Notamacropus eugenii: one gene and its partner. The protein of the gene in region 2 purifies or fractionates together with the protein of the main gene of each other region. This does not show direct contact. Links are inferred from orthologs where the notes say so. Each region holds a gene or a part of one and is shown on either strand. Other genes may lie near its edges. The genes, in order: HARS1 and G6PD.

Region 1 (10,410 bases), on a different chromosome or scaffold from region 2:
ACAGGGTAACTTTCAGGGGAAAGAAGTAGGAGCTATACAAGTAAGTTAGTTGTCACCTTGTCTAGCTTGTCCACTGAAGAGCAAATCGTACGGAACTTGCTGTCAGGAACACCACAGACATTGAACATTCCATCCAGAATTCGCCTGTCATTCACCTGAAAATTCCAAAATTACTTTGAGTTGTGGAAATACCCACCTTTAACTTCTTCCCTTCAAGATCCATGATAACTATAGTATTCTAAAGGTCTATTTTTGCCTCTCCAGGTTGGACAGGAGAGTTCAGCCATAAGAGGGGAAGACCAGGACTGCTACTCACTCCTGATTGTTAGCGCCATAATTACTACCACCAGGGCAGACAGTCTTTCCTTTCACCTTGATAAGGAAGTCCCCCAGCTGAAGCGCGCTCAGGATCTCACAGATGATCTTCAGACACTCTGCATCAGGGATCATGGGGTCAAATTGCCCGGCAATGTCAAAATCCTGCATAAAAAGTGACAGGAAGGAGCCCTGAGTCAAGAGGACCAATTTCCAGCCCCCAAATCTCCAGAGCCTCCAGACCCCCACAGGCAATGTCCTTTCCCTCATATGCAAGACTACAGACCTTACTGATCCCTTTCACTGCCCTTCCAAACCTGGAAGATGACACAGTCATGAAACTCTTACGACTATGCTATTTTACTCTATTTCCTATTCATCTCCATCATCTCTTTTGGTGAAATCTCCCTGCACGTGCTTTTCCTTTAGCCATTTATTCACTTTTTCCCTGCTCAGACTAGAGCTTTAATTAATTCTGATGTGCATACAGCTGGTTTTCACATCTTCATTTTTAGCTCCTCATCATATATTGTCATCCTGACGTATCTAGACACAGGTATCATGTCTATATATGCTGCTCAGGAAAGTGAACACTTAACTAAATTCTAACTGATCTCAGTGAGGACTCAATGCCCTGAGCTTTCTTAGCTCTGGGACACTCACACACTGGTAGAACTCCCGGTAACGGCCACGAGTCATTGCAGGATTATCTCGACGGTACACCTTTGCAATGTGGTAGCGTTTAATGTTGGTCAGTTTATTCATTGCCAGGTATCGAGCAAAAGGAACCTGTTGATGGGTTAAGGAGAAAGTTCCTCTTGTTCAGAGATAATTACTACCACCAGCTTGAGTTTGTCCTTCATTATCAAAGAAGACCATGACATCAAGATGATGACATGACTTGCAGTTGACTTTGATTCCAGTGTGGGAGGGCTGTGCAAGGTCACCAGCCTCACTTTTCCTCTGGAGCTAACTGGGTCCAGTGGCCTGATATTCAACAGGGCAACTGGAGATGGCCTAGGATGAAATGTGAGACCCTGACCCTTTCACATCTTACTTTGAGTGAGATACACCCATTCAATGAATAGGCTTCTTTAAGTTGCTCAAGGGATGGCCCCCTTTAATAAAAAAAAAAAATCAAACTGGGAGGGGACTTGTTGTGCAGTCTATGAACTCCAGAATGAATTGTGTTTAAGGCTTGCTGTTTGAGCAAAAAATGTAGCCAGTAAACCCAGAGGCAAAAAGGCAGCTTTGGCCACAGAGTTTACTTTCCTCTGGGCAGAACACAGAGGAGAGGAGAGCAGAGGAGCTGCTACTCACTCAAGGTTTGTGTTTGTCCTTCGTTCTCGAAGAGTACCATGTCATCAAGATGATGACATAATAAAAAAAAAATCAAACTGGGAGGGGAAGACCCTCAGGATTCCTAAGAAAAAGAGTAACAATTACAATTACACCAGAAGAAGCTATCTGAAAACAAAGTGGCCACACTCTCCCCAGGCTCCTTGTGCAATTGGATTACCCTAGCAAGAGTTATCGGAACCTTGGAATACTCAAAGGGACGACACCTGACACTGCAGAAATACTAATATGGAAGAAACCCTGCACTATGCTTAGTGCCCACCGGACCCATATTATGACTGCTTTTCTGGAACAATTAAAACAGAACATCATTCTTTACTGAAGATCTACTCAATGGTCTAAACAGTCTTCAAGACAGGCAAAGAATGGTTTTCCAGAATCAGGCAATTTATAATGGATTCAGATGTGAGCCCTGGCACTATATTAAGTTCTTGAATGGTCTTCCTAGGGGTGGGCCCAGCTAATTAGAATTTGCATCTCTGTTTTAGAGAGGGACTTCATCTAACTCGTTCTCCAACTGATTCTTTGGATCACTTATTCAAGAATTTCTTCTTATCCATGTCCAATGTTCTCTGAATCTGAGGATTCCATCACCTCCTGTCAATTAAAGTCCAGTCTAAACGACAGCATCCTAGAGCTCACTTTGAAAGGATACGGTGAGGTCATAACGAAGAGCCAACAGCTCACCACCCTGATCTTTTAGGTCATAGATGAGCTTAGAGTCCTCCCCATACTTTCCAGTTAGTGTTTCCTGGAAGGAAAAGATGAAAATATATGATTATTTCATTGGCTGTGCCTAACCCTGGATAAAGATGCCTAATTGCATATCCCTAATAACATAAGAGGTGCAAACAATCAACTGCCCTGTAGGGTGTTCTGTTGGAGGACTTCAAGAATATTTATGGTTGCAACTACCCCCCAATAAAAACATCAATCCAAAACAGGAACCACAGCCACAGAAATCAATGTGGGAAAATTATGTTGGTTCCTACTTTTAAACATCAATCAAGTTCCTGTACATCAGGAATAGGGCTGGGCTTGTCTACACCCATCTTAATAGTTGATCCCTCATGACTATATCCCATTGGTATCTAATCGACTTGTGTATCTGCTCTACATTCCTCCCCATCTCTTTGCCAAACGCTTCTCCCTTGGCCTTGGCCCTCACCTTCAATTCAAACACAGGGGTATCTATTACTTCGGCACCATGGCGCTTGAAGCAGCTGATGATCACATCAAAAACCTTCTCTCGAACAGCCATCTGCTTAGGGCTGTAATCCCTGGTGCCCTAGTAGTCAAAATAATCAAAGGAGAAAAAAAGCAAGCAAACAAGCAACTCAGTAATAAGAAAGCGGGAGGAGTTGGTATTTCAGAAGTATTCCATTTATAATCTCAATTATAATGGAACAGAATTGCATTTAATTTCCTTTTAACCACCAAGCCAAATCTGCATGGACTGAAGGGGGTTAGGTAGGATAGCTATCATCTAAATAAAAGAAGGCTTTTAACTTCTGGCATTAGAGTTGTGCTTGGAGAGGGATATTTGGTTGGTTGATTTTTAAGTTAACTGTCTTAATATAAAAAATTTTTTAAAATTGATTAACTATGGAATCCCTAAAGATAATCTACATTTTATTTCTATAACAACTAATTGGGAAGTGTGGGGAAAAAAAAAGCAGATATTTCAACAGACAAGAGTTGCTGCTGTTCTTAAGAATCTGCAGTAGTGTTATTTCTCCCAAAGGTTGAGATGACTAAAATCCTGCCTATCTTGACAAAAACAGAACGCACAGGTACAACTCAATTCCAGCTGAATGCCCAAAAGTGTCTGTTTTCCGAAACACGCTAAACACTTCTTCCTCCCAAGAGAAAGCCATGTTTTTAAGTCTGTAGTGGCACCGTGACTAGACCTCTCCTCTTGAACTTATTTAATTTTCTTTTGGGGCTTCTGTCACTAAATTTTTGAAGGTAGGGTCTAATTGAAGGTAGGGTCTAAATATTGCCACCTTTGTATCTTCGGTATCTATTAGTGTCTTGAACTTGTTAAAGTGAACTGACCACACACTCATGTGTGTGTGTATGTGAGAGATGTTGGTCTTCTCTAGTGGGAGCCGAGAGGGAGAAAGAAAGGATTTGGAACTCAAAATATAACCAAGAAAAAAACACAATATATAAAAATAAACCGAACTGACAATGCAGTGAGGCTCATCAAACACCCTCGGAAAGGCTTCTCTAAAAACACATTTACCTTTGGAGTTTTAAGCACAAACTTCTGTTTCCCTTCATCAGGGCCCAGCTCTGCCTTCAACTTCAGGAGCTTGGAAACCTCCTCCTCGATCTGCGAAGGAAAGGCCTCAATAAACACGGGAGTTTGGAAGGATGTGGTCCCTAGCCGGGGCCCTCCTCCAGGCCTCTGACTCAGAGCAAGCTGTGAGACCGTAGGCCAGTCACTTTCCCTCCATACCTCCGTTTCCTCATCTATACAATGGGATTCAAAGCACCGGCAGTCTCCCAGGCGCTGTGACGCTAAAGCCAAAGAAAGAACGTGGAGCTCCTCAAAGGATCGGAACGAGGCCGGCGGGGGAGTCGCCTTCTGGACCCGAGTCTCGTCCCTGTCAAGGCCCTCGCCCAGCCCCTTTCCTCCTTCCATACCGGACCCCTGAGCCAGAGCTCCGTCCACCCCGGGCCCCGATCCGGCCCTCTCGGGGCCCTCACCAGCTCGGCGCCCGCCTTCTGCTGCTTGAGATTCCGCACTCTCTCGCCCTGGAGCCTCACAGCCTCCTCCAGCGCCGCTCGATCCGCCATCCTTGCAACGGCCGCGGCTGTCACTGACTGCGGCCCCAGAGCTCCGCCGGCGAACCGCGCCCAGAGGCAGCTTCCGGCCGGCGGGCGCCTGAACCGGAAGAGCGGAAGTCTGGAGGCCAGAGCGGCCCATCCCCTACCCTTTCCCACGAGACGCTCCGCTCTGGCAGCCTGCCTGCCCCTTGGCGGGTTTGATGCATGGGAACATCCGGCACCCTTTGCCTCAGTTTCCCCCTCCCTAACCTGGTGACCAGCCCGTTCTCACTCCCTGGACCCAGCCCAAGCGCCTTCTCTGCCCCAGTCCTCCCTCCCCCTTCCCCCCGTGTCCAGCCCTCTGCGGGTGTGCACGAACCCCAGAACCGCAGGAAGAGAAGCCCCCTCCCCGGGCCATGCAGCGCCTCGGACCCTGGTCTCGGGAGGCCTGGGCCGCACTGGCCCTCCAGTTGCTGCGACCTCCCCGCGCCCCCTGCGCCGGGGCCACGCTGCTTTTCCGCCGGGTGCAAGGAGGCTTGGGGCAGCCTCCAGCGCGGGAGGTACGTTCTGCCTTCCCCCCTTTCTCTCTGGGCGCTCCTTGGCTTCTCTACTGTCCCAGCTTATCGGTCGATATGGCCCCAGTTTGGGTTGGAAGGGAAGAACCGTCGGGGTCCCCGGCAGGCTCGCCAGCTGTTCCCGGCCTGATTCTACCCCTGTGTGGTTGAGCCCGCTCAAAGCAAGGACTCCAGCTTCTGAATGTGTACCCTACCTTATGAGTAGATTTAAAAACGCTTGATTTATTTTAAAGACCTTAGTTTCCTCTTCGGTAAAGCGAAGGTTTAAACTAAGTGGGCCCTCAGCGGCAGAGGGGTTGGTTGGGCAGAACTGCCTTTGGATCTGGAGCAAACGAACCGCGGTGCTTCGCCCCCTAGTGTTTGTGACGGAGCCCCACAGTCTGCGATGTCAATTTATCCCTTTATTTCAATACGTTTTGTTCAGACTCATGGTACAGAGAGCCTCGGGACTGTCAGCGGAATCATCCGTGGGAATCTTTGAAATCCTCACTTGAATGAAGACTTCACGCAAGTCTTGTTTGTCATATTATGGAGGGGATCCCTGTTTAGGTACAGGTTGAGATAATTGGCTTCTGAGGCCCTTTCTAGTACCGAATGAACACATACTAAATTCAAAACACTGGGCTAAGCACTGAGAATACAAATAGAAAAGCTGTGCAGTCCCTGTTCTCAAAAAGCTCACCCTCTAGTAGAGGAAACCACATATACAGAATGTTTTCATTGCAAATCAGATAGAAAGGTCCCATGGTCCTTGTGATGAAGGGCCAAAGCAGGTAATAATGGTTTCTTTGGAGATTTTATGGTCCTAAAATTTAGAAAGCTTAACCTCTCTAAATTTCTGTTTTCTCATTTTAAAAATAGGGATAATACTTGCACACTCCTTACTTTACAGGTGTCTGGAAAACACATTGCAGACGTTAAAGAATTATAGAAAAGTGAATTATTACTGTAATCATTGTTAGAGATGAATACATTGCTGCCCTGAGAAATTAAATGATTTAAATTAAATGATCAATCACCCAGTTATTAAATAGGACTATCTTGAGGTACCACTCTGTGTTTTCTCAGGTTTCCAAAAAGTCTTATTGTATAGCCTGCTATAATCTAGTATTTTTTCATTCAATTGCATTTTTTTACACATAGAGCCAAAAAAAATGATAGGGTTCCTTCCCTTGAAGAATTTACAGTCTAATATTGTGATGCAGAGAAAATTATGTTGAATTTGGATTCAGAGGACTTGAGTTTAAATCTGAATTGTCACTAATTCCTTGTATGACCTTGGGTAAGCTAAGTAAAACTTTCTAGAATTCAGTTTCCTTATCTGTATTTAAAATGAGTTAGATGGTCTTTAAGGTCCCTTCCAGCACCAAATCTTTCATCCTTTTCTTTGAGGGGGGTGGGGAGATGGAAGGGAATAAGCCTTTATATAGCACCTCCTATGTGCTAGGTAGGCACTATTCTAAACACTTTTTTACAAATATCTCATTTGATTCCCAGCATCCCTGAGAGGTAGGTGCTGTTATTATTCCTATCTTACATTTGAGGAAGCTGAGGCAAATAGATTGTGACTTTCCTAGGATGACACACAGCTAGTAAGTGCCTGAGTCCAGATTTGAACTCAAGTCTTATAGACTGTAAGCCCAGTGTTCTAGCCACTGGGCCACCAGCTGCCTCAGTAGAGGAGTTAATAATCTAAAGCTAACAAATAAAAATCTAATAAATTATTCTTGTATCATAATCTGGTTTATTTTTGTATCTTTATTTTAAAGCAACTTTCTGTAAGAACCCATCTAGATCCAAAGGGCCATAGCCCTTTTGTAGGGAGTCACCTTTCTGATCTGCCATTTTTATTACTATATTTTGAATGTAGAATTAGAGTCTTTTTAGGTTCTGGTCTTGCCATAAATTTATTTTTTTTGTAAGTTCTTGTTTGTTTCTGGGTCTTAAGTTTCCTTGGGTGTCAGTTAGCAAAAAGTCTTGAGTAGAATTGACTAGCTGAGTTTGACTGAATGAGAGTAAATCATGCTGTATGGTGGGATGGAGATATCAATACAATGAGAGCCACTGGGAAAAAGATCTGACTTCATTCAAAATCCTTTATGAACACAATTCGGGCACAAGTGTGGAGCCTGTAGGACTTTCTTCTTGTAACTGGAAGACTAGAAATTCTGGGGGTCAGAGATAAGTATCTCTTGCTTAGCGTGCCATAATCATTTCCTTTCAGTTTGCAGAGGCCAGGTTGAAGATTCAGTCGGAAATAGATAAAGAGAAATCCAATTTTGTTATCAAGACTCCCAAGGTAATCCTCTTCTCTCATCCTTTTTGGTCTCCTTTTCCAGTATCCTGGGTGCTTGGGAAGAGCAGTCTGCCCTTACCTGAGGTGGGACCTTGCAGTGAATTAGCGTATCATATGGTGGATAGATTGCACTTGGAGTCAGAAAGAGCTGGGTTGAATCCTACGTCAGTCATTTACTAACTATGTAACTTTTCTCAGGATACTTCACTTCTCAGTTTCTTCATTTGTAAAATGGGGATGATAGCAGTACTTACCTCATAGGGTTATTGTGAGAAGAGAGTGTGTAAAGTGCATTACAAACCTTAAAAGTGCTTTAAAAGTATAAACCATTGTTGTAAGGTCTATTCATCCTTCCCTGTTTCCTGCAGGGAAATTTCCTACAAATTTGTACAATTTGTTTTTAAACTTTTCACCTTCTTCCCTTTATTCTGGTTGCTTTTGGCTCATAGGGTACCAGAGATCTTAGCCCTCAACAGATGGCTATTCGAGAGAAAATCCTTAATGCTATCATCAGCTGCTTCAAGCGCCATGGAGCTAAAGGGCTAGACACTCCAGCATTTGAACTAAAGGTGACAGAAAGAAAAAGCGGGGGAGGGAGGAGTAGTATTGAAATTCTTCCTTTCTTAGCCTCCAGTATCCCAAACCATATTTTTTAAGCTATAGATTTGTGTTTGTCCAGGAAGTGCTAACAGAGAAGTATGGAGAGGACTCCAGACTCATCTATGACCTGAAGGATCAGGGTGGGGAGCTCCTGGCTCTTCGATATGACCTCACAGTATCCTTCTAAGAACTGTTTTACTTTATCCCAGACTGTCCTTTCCCAAGTCAAGGGAGGGAATTGTAGATGTCATAGTCATATCTGGAGCTCTGATTTCTGTTTTATGTTAGATGGCTCAAGGAAGCATGTCCACAGTAAAGTAAGGACTGAAGGTAATGGTGAAAATCAGGCTTTCAAACTTAAATAATCTGGGAGAATTAAGGATTGAGGTGCATAGGAAGGAAGGATCCCAGGGGTCTTAAACCACTTAGATCCTTGTTTCCCTTTCCCTGAATTTTCAGTTTGACAAGATGATGTTGGAATCTACTGCAGAGATAGGAATTTCTCTAGTATCTGATTTGTGTAGATGCAGTTGGTTACCAGTTCTGGAAGGGAGAGTGCTTTTTCCTTAATCATTTCTTGTGAGGTCCCTTTTGCTCGTTACTTGGCCATGAATAAGATAAAGAAGATGAAACGCTATCACATTGGGAAGGTGTGGCGACGGGAGAGTCCCTCCATAACCCAAGGTCGATACCGGGAGTTCTGCCAATGTGTGAGTGACTGGGTCAGTGGACAGTGAGGAGGGAGTTCTCTGAGCAATGCCACTGGTAACCCAGGTTTAATTAGAGGATTTTCAAATTTTCACTGTTTGCTTTTGCTACAGGATTTTGACATTGCAGGTCATTTTGATCCCATGATCCCTGATGCAGAGTGTTTAAAGATCATACATGAAATCCTAAATGCATTGCAGTTGGGGGACTTCTTAATTAAGGTGAATGTGAAAACAAAAGAGGAGGGGGGTGTTCATGACCTGAGATTATTTCCTTTAGGTTCTCCTCTTTTCTTCATGATGGTCCCAACTTTATCCCTTGGCTTTAGCAGCTGTTTCTGCTATAGTCTGATTGCAGGGCTTCCCTTCTCCTTTTACTAAAGGGAATCACTGGGAAAGAAGAATGGATGGATCTCTCTTTTGAGAATAGGTGTTGATGGAGTATCTGGTGCATATGGGATTCACAGGTGAATGACAGGCGAATTCTGGATGGGATGTTGGCTGCCTGTGGTGTCCCTGATAACAAATTCCGATTTATCTCTGCTTTGGTGGATAAGCTGGGCAAGGTAACAAAGGAATATCTTTTCATTTTCCCTCATCTAAGATTTTGTGGCTTACGTCTTTCTGGGCCGTTGTGTTTCAGAAACTTAAAGAACAGTGTAAAGTAAACTATCTTATTTACTTAAAGAAAGTTATTGTAAAGAGATATTGTAAAGAGAAAGTTTAACTAAATCGTGACCTGGTTTCAGTCCTTAATTGAAGTTTACCTCTTCACCTAATAATAGTTCACTTTAACACAGAAATGTAAGGTTTTCAAAGTGCTTTCCTTGCAACAATCCTATGAGGAATCCATTAAAATTATCATTATCCTTACTTTGCAGTTTAGGGAATAAGCAGTTTAAGCGACTTGCTGTGGGGCACATAACTAGTAATTGTTGAAAACAAAATTCCAACTTAGTTCTTTCCTGAACTGTAGGTTTTTGCTGTATCTGTTACGCTGTCCTGACTCTTGTCAGATTTTAGGCACATGGTAGGCATTCAAATGTCTACTGATTGAATTATAATGCCTCTTGTTACAAAAGAAAGCAGGGTCTTGGATATGAGCTAATATTTCTCTATCTGCAGATGTCCTGGAAGGACGTGAGACAAGAGATTGTAGGAAAAATGGCTTTGGCCCCTGAAGTGGCAGATAGCATTGGGGTTTACATCCAGCAGCATGGTAAGAAGCAGGTTCCCCAAGAATTAGATGTATATATGATAGGGACTAGATCTGCTGCATATCTAACATTGAGCCCACTTTTCTAGAGAGAGACAGATCCCTCAGGAAAAAGCTGGTCTTGAACTTATTTCAGCTTTTCCTGTCTTTTTTGCTTCTTTAGAAGGAAGAAAACAGAAGCAGAGGAATAACAGCACCATAGTTTGGATTTTTTTGGAAAGTTCGTGATTAGAGTAAAAAGGACACTGAACTTGAAATTAGGAAAGACCTCAATTAGAATCTTGCCTTTGATGCATATGGTTTTGTGATTTAACCTTTCTGAGTCTCTCCTTATTTATGCAATGGAGTTAATAATCTCTGTACTGCTTACCTCACAGGTTGATATGAAGAATAAATAACATATGTAAAGCAGTTTGAATGCTAGCTATTTTTATTGTTTTATTCATCTTGTTTTTTTGGTTGTGTAGACTTGTTTGGATGAATTCTAAAGATCCTGTTTCCCCTGTCTATCTGACTTTTATGTTTGACTTTCTCAGGTGGAGTGTCCCTAGTAGAGCAGCTACTGCA
Region 2 (10,202 bases):
ACTTTCCAGCCAGTTCTCGATTAAGGTAAGTAGACTGATCTACAGACCACCCATGGCTCTGTGGGTCCTGCCACTGCTGCCAGCCCAGGAGTTGAACTGGTGTAACTGGTTTTACTGTAAAGTGAGAACTATCTTTTGGGGGCTCTTTATCCTAGTGCTTAGTGAATGATGCTTGACATTGAAAAAGCCCTTCCCAATCCCCAAGAAGCCCCTTATCAGCCCAGGTTGCCCTCTCTACCCTGATTTTGAGGGGAAAAACAAAAGGCTCTAGCCTGGGAAGCTAGAAACCTGCCTAACACTTGCCAGCCTCATTAGACATTTTTCTCCTTAACTCTAGTTGAGTCAAAGTGGCTGTCTTCCTGCTCCACTCTGCATCTTTCCATCCATGCCTTTGGATTCCCCAAGCCTTCTCTGCCTCTTAGAATCTCTCTACTTCCTTGAAGCCTCAGCCTAAACACCATCTTCTCCATGGAGACTTTCCTGGTCCCTACAACTGTTAGGATCCCCCCTTCATCTCTATACTTTCTTATATTCATTTGGTGTACACACACACACACACACACACACACACACACACACACACACACACACACACACAGAGTCTTCTCGGACCTAAATTCCCTGGAAGCAGGGACTGGTTCTCTCTTGCCCTTATATCCCCTATATGTCTGACATCCTATAGACTCTTAATAACTGCTTGGAGGACTGAAGCACTCCTGGGAGTGGAAAGTTGTGGGCATGGACTTGGAGAGATTTTGGGGGCTACACGGAGTACTTTCAATGGATTCCTTTGGGACCACAGAGGTTCCCATTGAAATAATATTATTTTACTTATATGAAATGGGTCAATAGATAGCAAGACCTTGGACTGACAAAGGTTGGGAAACAGTGACTTACAGGAACAGAGGTACTTGAAACCAAGAAGGGCATGGTGAAAGCCAGGGAAAGAGAAGGAAAGGCTTCTCTTTACTCTTGCCCTCTTCTGCCAACTCATTCCACTCTCTGCACACTCCATAAGCTACTAATGGCCCTCAGGAAGCACCACTTTGTCATTTCAGAGTGCAAAATCCCCAATGCCCTGGCCCGGCTGGAGGGACCCAGCATTGGTGAGGAAGGATTAGGGTTGGAAAGGGCTGAGTTTGAATTCCACCTCAGGCCTTTACCTTGGGGATCAGAGCTCTCAATCAGAAATGCCAGCATGGTTAGGAGGCCCATAGAAGCACTGAGAAAGGTAGAAAAGTGTTTGGCAAACCTTGTAGCACTCTGGAAATGCCAACGAGCATTACCAAACTTGAAGAACAAATGATCCTAGAGCAGGTCTGGGGTGATAAGTGCAAGTTTAAGCCCAAACCCTGAATTCTAAATGAAACTTGGTGAAGAGGACACTGGGGAACAGGGGCTTCTAACCCCTGGTACAGGGGTGGGGCTTTCCTTCCAAGTCTCCAATCAGTTAATTTAGAAGAGTATTCCTTTCAGCACCCCAGAAACAAACCAACAACCAACCCAAACCATGATGACATTCCTTTGAAGGACTTCAAACACCCCTGGGGTCACAGGGCTCAGTCAGAGGGAAATAGTGGGGTATTTAGTAACCCTTAAGGGGCCCCAAAAAAGCCCCTTATCAGTCTATTCAAACCAGGCCTGGAGAAGACTGAGCCAGGTTAGATGAAGAAATTACAAAGATAAGCAAGATAACCACTCAGTTGATAAGCAAGAATGACCCACGACCTTTCCGACACCATTTGCCCTCAAGAAAGTCTCACCAGCCTTAGGGAGTAGCCTTCCCTCCTTCCCCTATTACCAGCCTCTCCACAAGTTGTCCTCTACACCCTGATTTTGAGGGGAAAAACAAAAAGCTCTAGCCTGGGAAGCTGGAAACCTGCCTAACACTAACTTGCTCTTGACATCAGGGGGTAAAAAAATCACGTTAGTAATTTGGGTTTTATTTTCCTCATCTATAAAATGAGGGTGATAATCACTGCCCTGACGCCAGGACAAGAAATCAGGAGAAACAAGATAGTATGAAAATAATCTTCAACAGAGGGCCCAAAGAACAGAACAGAAGGAACTGGGCCTTTGGAGATACTGGGAGACCGAGGACTTATGCTGAGCAGAAGCTGTGAGGTGAGTGCGCAGGTAGGAACAGAGAATCTGGAGCCAGAAGTGGGGTGAGTCCCAGCTCCTTCATACTACAAACGAGGAAAGTTGAGGCCCAGAGTGACTCACCGAGGCTCCCATGATGATGAATATGTGTGTGTCTGACTGGTGGAAGGCATCACCCTGGTACAATTCTTCCCGGAGAATTCCACACACTTGGGTCCGGCTCAGTGCCACCTGCTCTGCCATGTTGTTTTCTAGAGGAATGAAAGGATTGTGAGGGAGCTCTGGCAAAGAGAGAGTTGGAAGGTCATTGCCCCTCCCCCTAAGAGGGACAAGTGAACTCCCCAGGCAGCCCAGATTTCAAGTGGTATCTCCAAGAAGCAATTACCAGTTCAGAGTTTAGGAGAAGGGATAAAAAACGTTAGGTTTCTGATGCCTTGAGGGTATCTGAGGAGGCTTCCAGCAGTCACATTTTGTACCTGTTAAGCCCATTTTAAATATCCTACGTTTGGTCAGGATACTCAATGGCTAAGTCTGGGGATCAAAGTGGTGTTCCCCCCCCCCCCCTTCTTTCCAAAGTGGATGTCTGGAGGATGAGTTCAAGCTGGAGCCTCTCATCTGGGATTCTAGTTCAAGGTGTTCATAGCTTGAGGGGCAGGATCACAGGTGGGGGTTAATGTCGACTAGAAAATCAGGACCTAAGCAGGAACATTATTAATTCACTGATCTTCCTTCTGCTTTGAAGATAATGGGTCCCAGTCTCAGGCAGAATGCTAATTAGCTCCTTTATCCTCTTGCTTTGAAGATGATAGGGGTGGGGGTGGGGGTGGGGGTGGTAGGGAGTAGGGGGCGGGGTGGGGGAGGGGCCTAGTTCTGACTCAGTCACTGTCTGTGACCCTGGACAAGTTTATTTCTCTTGGAGTCCAAAGTTGCTTCCCTTTTAAGGGAGCTAGACTGACTGATCTGTACATTTCCATCCAGCTTGTATATTTTTTGCCATATGACCAGTATAACCAAGCACAAAATATTATTTCTTCTTGGCCTTTTCTGATGTCTCTCCTATTTCTAAAACTGGCCTGTCCCAGTCCTCACAGTCACTACTTTGGAAAATCCTCAGGATGCAACATTATCTGGCATCTGCATCAGCAAGGCACTGGACTGTGGAAGAAGACTGTTGCAGGTGCGTGGTTGTTTTGTTTTTAAAAAGAAGTCTCAAGGGAGAACCTAGAGCAAAAAGACAACCTTCTCCGCAAGGGGTTATGCCACTACCACCAGGGTCCAAATCCAGCTAACTGCAGTTCAGCCAGACCCCTGCCACAGGTTCGATTGTTGCTACCTGTTGGGGCTTGTTTCAACTTCCCTAGGACCTCAGTGGGATCTGATCTCCCTCAGCGGATGGTTCCGAAGGGTTAGAGGTTCTCCCTGATAGGTAGGTAGGAGAAGCAGAGTATTTCCAGTAGTCAGTTTGATCACATGCCTAAGCTAAAACCCCTTAGGGGATATAGAGGAAACTTTCCTTTAGATCTAGGCCCCCAGAGACAATCTACAAGGGGCAAGAAAGCCAGGCCAGGGCTGAGATGGGAAAGAGTACAGTATCTTATCTGAACAGGAAGGTCATCAATCAATGCAGAAACAGCCTTCTGACCAGGGTTCGGAGGAAGGAGATGAGGGAGGATGCTTGGGTAAAGAGGATCAAAGAGCCTGGAGACTAAGTCGAAGGAGGGAACTGCAGAGGCTTAAGAGAAAGGCTATTAGGATGGAGAGCTCAGGACAGAGGCCAGGATGCAGGGCGGGGCTGAGGATGGAGGAGGTTGGGGTTGGGCAGGCCGGGGGCCTCCTCACCAGTCTTCGCCTCCGGATCCTGGGTCACTTGCTGATCCGGCAGAGGAAGGGAGACGACCGGGCCCGCTGCTGCGCTCGGGTTAATGCCTCGTCTGCCCGAGTGCAGTTCGGCTACACTCGCCCGACTCCCCATCTCCTCCCCCTGGCCCAGCCCCGTTGGCCCCTGACTCCGCCCCGGCCCTCCCTGCTCCCCCGGCTTTGGCTCCGATCCAGACCTGGGATTCCGCACCTCGCGCTTCAGGCGCAGGAGAGCCCGCCTCCTCAGCGACATCTCTCTCTCCCACCCCCACGTGGCCTCGCCCGGCTCGCCGCTTCCGCCTGCGACGTGGCCACGCCCCCCGAGCCGGCCATGGGCCCGCCCTTCTCAGATCACGCTCCCTGTTCTTCTCGCCAAGCCGAGGTCTCCCATCTCTAGCCGGAAGCCCCGCCCCTTTGCTTATTTTCCCCCCCCCCCCCCCCCCCTCAAGAACTCCGCCCCTCGTTCCTCTCACTCCTCCTAGTTTTCTGATACCGGCCTGGAGTGGGGAGGGGAACTGATAAAGTGCATAGTCAGGGGCACTTAAGGTGACAGAAGAGATCGTTCCGAAACTAGGAGGAGGAAGCAGATGCTCTAGAAGATAGCTTAGTGCCTAGGATTTCTTTCTAGACCTAAGTGGGCCCTGGCACGGGAAACACAGGGTAAATTTCCCCCCACCCCCGCCAAAGGCGTTATTGGTTCAGTCCTCGCTCCCTGGAGGTCGGAGACAGCCAGAGGAAGGGGCGGAGACAGTCTGAGGGACTCCGAAGCTTTCACTTTTGCACTTCCGGGTTGCCGCAGCCCTCCGGCACAATCCGGAAGTGGGTGTTGGGTGGGGAGGAGTCGCTGAGGAGTCCGGGCTTCGGAGCCGTCGGCTGGGACCCGAGCTGGCGGATTCTTGGGGGGGGCCTCCGTCGCTACCTTCGGTGTAGTTTTCGCGGCTGCGTCCGTGGCGTGTGGACTCAGGCTCGGCCCGGCCGGGCCTGGCGGCTCCCCGGGCCCCGGTGGGGCCGAAGCTGAAGCCTGAAGGCCCGAGTCTCCGGCCTCCGGGGTGAGTCGGACGCCCAGGCCCCGCCCCTTGGGCCCCGCCCCCGCCCATGGCGGCCCCGCCCCTTAGCCCCTTCCCGCCGCCTGTCCCTTCACTCTGCTCTGCCATGTTCAGCCTCTCCTGCCTCATCTGGGCCACCGCTGCCGTCCGAGGTTTTGGGGTTGGCCTCAGGGTAACTGACTCCCCATTGGCCCAATTTCTCTCCCCTTCCCCCCGTCGCCGCCGCCCCCGCCCAGTCATTCTTCGTAATTCTGGGAGAGGGGAGAATGTGAAGGAAAAGAGCAGGTTTTTTTTTGCCACCATCTTTCTAGACTTCTGATGGGATTCCCACTTAACGGTGTGAGTCCGGGCAAGTTCCTGAACCTCTGATGTTTCATCTGTAAAATGGGTATGACAATAATGGACGCTACCTCCTAAGTTTGTTTTGGGGATCAGATGCCACAACTTGTGGAAAACTATGTAATTGTGAGCTCATTAATGGTGATAATAACGGGATAAGGCTGTGGCACTAAGGGGGCACCCTTCTCTGGAGTCATCGAAGTGGCACTGCCATGCCATTGGACTTGGAGGGTCTGGAAAACCCGAGTTCAAGTATCGCCTTAGACACTGGCTAGTGTGTGACTCAGGCAAGTCACTTAACCTCCGTTTGCCGTAGTTTCTTCATCTGTCAAATGAGAATAATAGCACTTATCTCCTGGAGTTGTTGTGAAGATCAAACGGGATAATAATTGTAAAGGTGACTGACACATAGTAAGCACTATGTCAATTTTAGTTAGCTGCTAACTTTCCACTTCATCTTTTCAGACCAATGCAGGGTTAGAGCTGGAAAGGACCTTGCCCACTAGATCATAAGGTCCTTGAAGGCAGAAGACTGTCTTTTGCCTCTTTGTATCCTCAGGTTAGCATGGTTCCTGGCTCATTGGTATTCATTTATGTTCTGTTCTTTTTGGCCAGGATACCGGAATGGTTTGCCATTTCCTTCTCCAGTGGATTAAGACAAAAGTGACTTGCCTCTGTTTCCTCTTCTGTAAAATGAGCTGGAAAAGGAAATAGCAACCACTCCAGTATCTTTGCCAAGAAAACCCCAAGTAGGATCATGGAGAGTGGGACATGACTGAAAAACTACTGAACAACAACAGCTTCTTGGCTCCAGACCTAGCGCTCTATGCACTGAGCCACCTAGCTACTTCCACATACTCTGTATAGCTTGGCCCATAGTAGGTGATTAATAAATGTTTATTGATTAATTGATTGAAAATGATATAATTTGTAGTATAATTTAGGGATGCTTTGGACTCAATCTGCCTAAGTTTGCTCACAGAATTTCACAGTTGGAAGGAGCCTCAGGAGCCACCTAGTTCTGCCCCTGTCCAGTAGAAATCCTGTCTAATATAGCTGGTCATCCAACCTCAGCTTGAAGATCTCCAGTAAGGGGAAACCCACCATTTGGGACACTTAACACAGGACCAAGCACATAGGCATTTCATAAAGAAATACTTGTTAACTTCCTGGGGTAGCTCCAGCCATTAGGAAATTTTTCCTGACACTGAGCTTGCTTCTGCACTCTGGGACCAAATAGCCCCCATAGAATTTCTCTTCCTGAGCTCAGCTATCTTCCTTGCCCCTCAGGCTTTTTTCCTTGGGCTAAGCATTCCTAGTTCTTTCAGCCTGTGATGATATGATATGATGGGGAAACTCTAGGCCTTTTGCCATCCTGGTTGCTTTCCTTCTTAACAATGCTGTCCTTAAATAGGTACGCCAAATGCAATACTCCTTGTAGTGATTTGTACTTTTCATGCACATGCTGTCTTGTATCTAAGTCATTGGTAATAATAATCGCAGCTAACATTTTTAAAGTTTGCAAAGCACTTTAATACATATTATCTGATTTGATCCACACTACGATCCTTGGAGGCAGGTGCTGTTATTTCTATTTTACTATTGAGAAAACTGAGAGGTTGGAAAAGTGACATGCCTGGGATCACCCAGCTAAGGAATCCTCATAGAATTCCAACTCAGGTCTTTCTTTGCTCCAGATCCAGGTCTTTATGCCCTGCGCCACCTAGAGGCCTAAAATTCTGTTTAACAGCATAGACCAAACATGGTTCTGGCCCACTCTACTGCTGATAGCCTGCCAAGTTGGCATCAGATTCACTGAACTGAGTCTAGCTGTTGAACCAGTTCTAAATCTTTCTTCTTGTATTGTCATTTAATTCATGTAGCTCTGTCTTTTCCACAAGAATAGCAGGAGATACGTCTTAAAACTCTTTATTAAAACCTAGGTAAACTATGTAGTATCCTCCCAATCAGTCTCATAACTGTCAAAAAAAAGCCTTGATGCTGACTTTTGGTAGCCCCCCTTCCCCATGCAACATGTAGATGTTCACTAAGCCTCTCTTTAGCGATGTGGGAGAATTTCCCTGAGGATGGGAGTCAAGTTCACTGGTATGTGTTTTTGCATGTTTTGTTCTCTTACCTTTTTGGAAAATTGAGGCATTTGCCTTATTTCAACTATACAGTGCTTCTCCTCTTTTCTCTGCTCTTTTGTTTGTCCACATCTGCCTGTTTTTATGATTGATGTGGACCAGGTGATGACTTCATTGGGGGTAACTAGGTACGCTCCCTTTGACTTCCTAGTAACTCATTTTGTCACCATTATTTTCCGAGAGAACAGGAGCAAAGAATCTGGCAGCTCTGCCTTCTCCTCTTCTTTGCAGAGGCAGGGTAGGGCAGCAGCAGCGGCTCAGAGGGGGGAAAAAACCACACATTTACATTATCTATGTTTCATTGTATTTTTATTTATTTTGTTAAACACGTCCCAATTACATGTAAATCTGTTTTCCTGCTGGGAGTGGGAGTGTTGCAGGACCTACTGGGTTTGATGCCTCTGGTCTTCACTCCAAGCATGGGTCTTGAGTTTCCTCTGATAGAGCTAAAAAGGCCTTTTTGTCACCCCTTGTTTTCCTGATCAACCTGACTATGAGATTTGGCCATTGAGAGATTATTGGATTTTTGGAAAGAGCAGTTTCAATTGAGTTGATGTCACAAGCAGATGGCAAAGGATTGAGAAGTGGAAGCAGAGGCATAGTTTGGACATCGCTCAAGCAGAGACAGGAAAGGGTGTCATAGAGGTAGGACTCTGGACTGCATGCCCACAAGGCAGCCTCCTGGCTCTGTAGTCAGTGCCGGGTTAACTATGGCCTCTCTGAACACCACTAGCTGTGCAACCTGAAGCCAGTCATTTGACTTTTCTGGGCCTCTTGTCCAAAATGAGAGGGACTTAGACTTGATGGCTTCTGAGGTCACTTCCAGCTCCAGATGAAGGATGCCTTGACCCTCTGGGGTTACAGGATTCAGTTTTTGTACTATCTCATAGTCCCCACAGTCTTTTTGAGCTCTGGCTTAATCATTTGCAGAGAATTTAATAAACAAATACATATTCTTATGAAACACATAAAATATGGGGATGATGATTCATTACCAGAGGATTGCGTCCTTTAGAAAAGGATTTTCCACTGGGTTCTTTTTAATCATTAGCTCCTTAAGTGCATTTCCCATTTGATTTGTGCCCAGCTCCGAGGCCCCCCCCCATGTGTCTTTATTTATTTATCTTTAGTTTTCACGATTCACTCCCATAAGATTTTGAGTTCCTAATTTCTCCCCATCTCTCCCCTCCCCCGCAGATGGCATGCAGTCTGATACAGACTCTACATATACATTCATATTAAATATGTTTTCACATTAGTGTAACAGCAAGGACCCTGATATACACAGGAAGGCCTGCTGTACAGGTTCTTAGATCTGCTTTTCTGAAAGGAAAGCAACTTTTGAGGGGTCAGGAATCACTTTAATCAAGCACATATAACATTCACTTAGTGCAGGGGAAAAAGCACCCTGAACTTCAGAGAAAATACACATAGAGAAATAAAGTCATTTTGAGGTGTCTTAGATCCTTGCATTGCTAAGAAGAGATAGGTCTGTCAAAGTTGATCATCGTACGGTATTGCTGTATATTATACAGGGTATAATCTTCTGGTTTTGCTCACTTCACTCAGCATCAGCTCATGTAAGTCTTCAGGAACCTGTCTTATAGAATATCAGGTATACATAGAATTATAGTTACAGGATTTCTGTGTTGGAAAGAACCTTAGAAGTGATCTGATTCAGCCTCCCATCTTGAAATAGCTCCCATTTATATAGGGCTTTAAGATTTGCAAAGGGTTTTTTCACAACGATCCTATGGTGCAGGTATTCTAGTGATCATTATCCTTATTTACAGATAAGGAAACTAAGACTCTAGAGTTAGCATCGTGCCTAGGGGTGTCACACAGTTTATAGTGGGATTCAAAACCAGACTTTTGACTTCAGGCTTACCCTTTTCAGTAGGTTATAGTGCCTTTCAAAAATGCATGTGCAGGATAGCCTAGACAGGTGACTTGAGAGCTCACTGTGTTAGGTAATAGCCTGGCTCACTATTGAACAGCTCTAATTAGAAAGTTTTTGTCTCATATGAGTGGAATATTGGAGGAGGTGTTCAGAGTCTGATGCCTTGTAAAGTACCATGTAAAAAACCATGAAGAGCCTGTGACCTCCCCCTCTAAGTCCTATCTGATGGACCAAGTTCTGCCACCTCAAGCAACACAAAACAAGTATCCTTCAGATGACTGTCCTCCTAAGTCTTTTCTTTCTATTTTTTAATAAGTTTTAATCCGTGTCTTTTGTTGTTATCATCACCCTACTTTCCCCCAGTATCCCTCTCCCTCCCAGAGAGCCATCCCATGTAACATAATATTTCCAGGTCTCTTTTTATCTAGGCCTCTCCTCACTTCTTTTTATATAACAGGGGTTTGTTTTTTTTTTTTTTTTTTACTCCTCATGATTGGATAGATCAGTGGACGTAGAATAAAGAAGATGTGTTCAAATATGGCTTCAGATACTTACTGGCTGTGTGGCCCTGGTTTGTCTCAGTTTCCTCATCTGTGAAGTGGGAATAATAATAGTATCTCTCTCCCAGGGTTGTTGTGAGGGTCAAATGAGATCATATTTGTAAAGCACTTAGTACCTAGCATGTAATAATCTAAATCTAAATGTTATTATTATTATTAATCATCATCATTAATCTTCCTCCTCTCATCCAGCCCAATCCAGTAAGCATTAATTGAGCACCTTTGGTATACTGGGCACTATGCAAGGCAC

What was found.
Region 1: the proteins of G6PD (region 2) and HARS1 fractionate together in Homo sapiens (co-fractionation; 3 studies listed by BioGRID). This does not show direct contact. The link is inferred for Notamacropus eugenii from reciprocal best matches to the Homo sapiens genes G6PD and HARS1.

The regions. Positions count from the first base shown.
Region 1 is NC_092872.1:368,089,999-368,100,408, forward strand, and holds the start of HARS1 (histidine--tRNA ligase, cytoplasmic), read right to left. Parts: upstream 4,575-10,410; 5' UTR 4,480-4,574; coding exon of another isoform or gene 4,390-4,479; 5' UTR 4,325-4,389; coding exon 4,139-4,324; intron 4,013-4,138; coding exon 3,923-4,012; intron 2,963-3,922; coding exon 2,843-2,962; intron 2,426-2,842; coding exon 2,330-2,425; intron 1,105-2,329; coding exon 979-1,104; intron 481-978; coding exon 373-480; intron 156-372; coding exon 57-155; intron 1-56. Other genes in the region: histidine--tRNA ligase, mitochondrial-like, read left to right, coding at 4,866-5,009, 7,249-7,323, 7,770-7,889, 8,000-8,095, 8,505-8,630, 8,742-8,849, 9,095-9,193, 9,753-9,846 and 1 more. UniProt on the Homo sapiens protein: Catalyzes the ATP-dependent ligation of histidine to the 3'-end of its cognate tRNA, via the formation of an aminoacyl-adenylate intermediate (His-AMP). Plays a role in axon guidance.
Region 2 is NC_092879.1:10,232,785-10,242,986, forward strand, and holds the start of G6PD (glucose-6-phosphate 1-dehydrogenase), read right to left. Parts: upstream 4,226-10,202; 5' UTR 4,214-4,225; coding exon 3,943-4,213; intron 2,355-3,942; coding exon 2,227-2,354; intron 1-2,226. UniProt on the Homo sapiens protein: Catalyzes the rate-limiting step of the oxidative pentose-phosphate pathway, which represents a route for the dissimilation of carbohydrates besides glycolysis.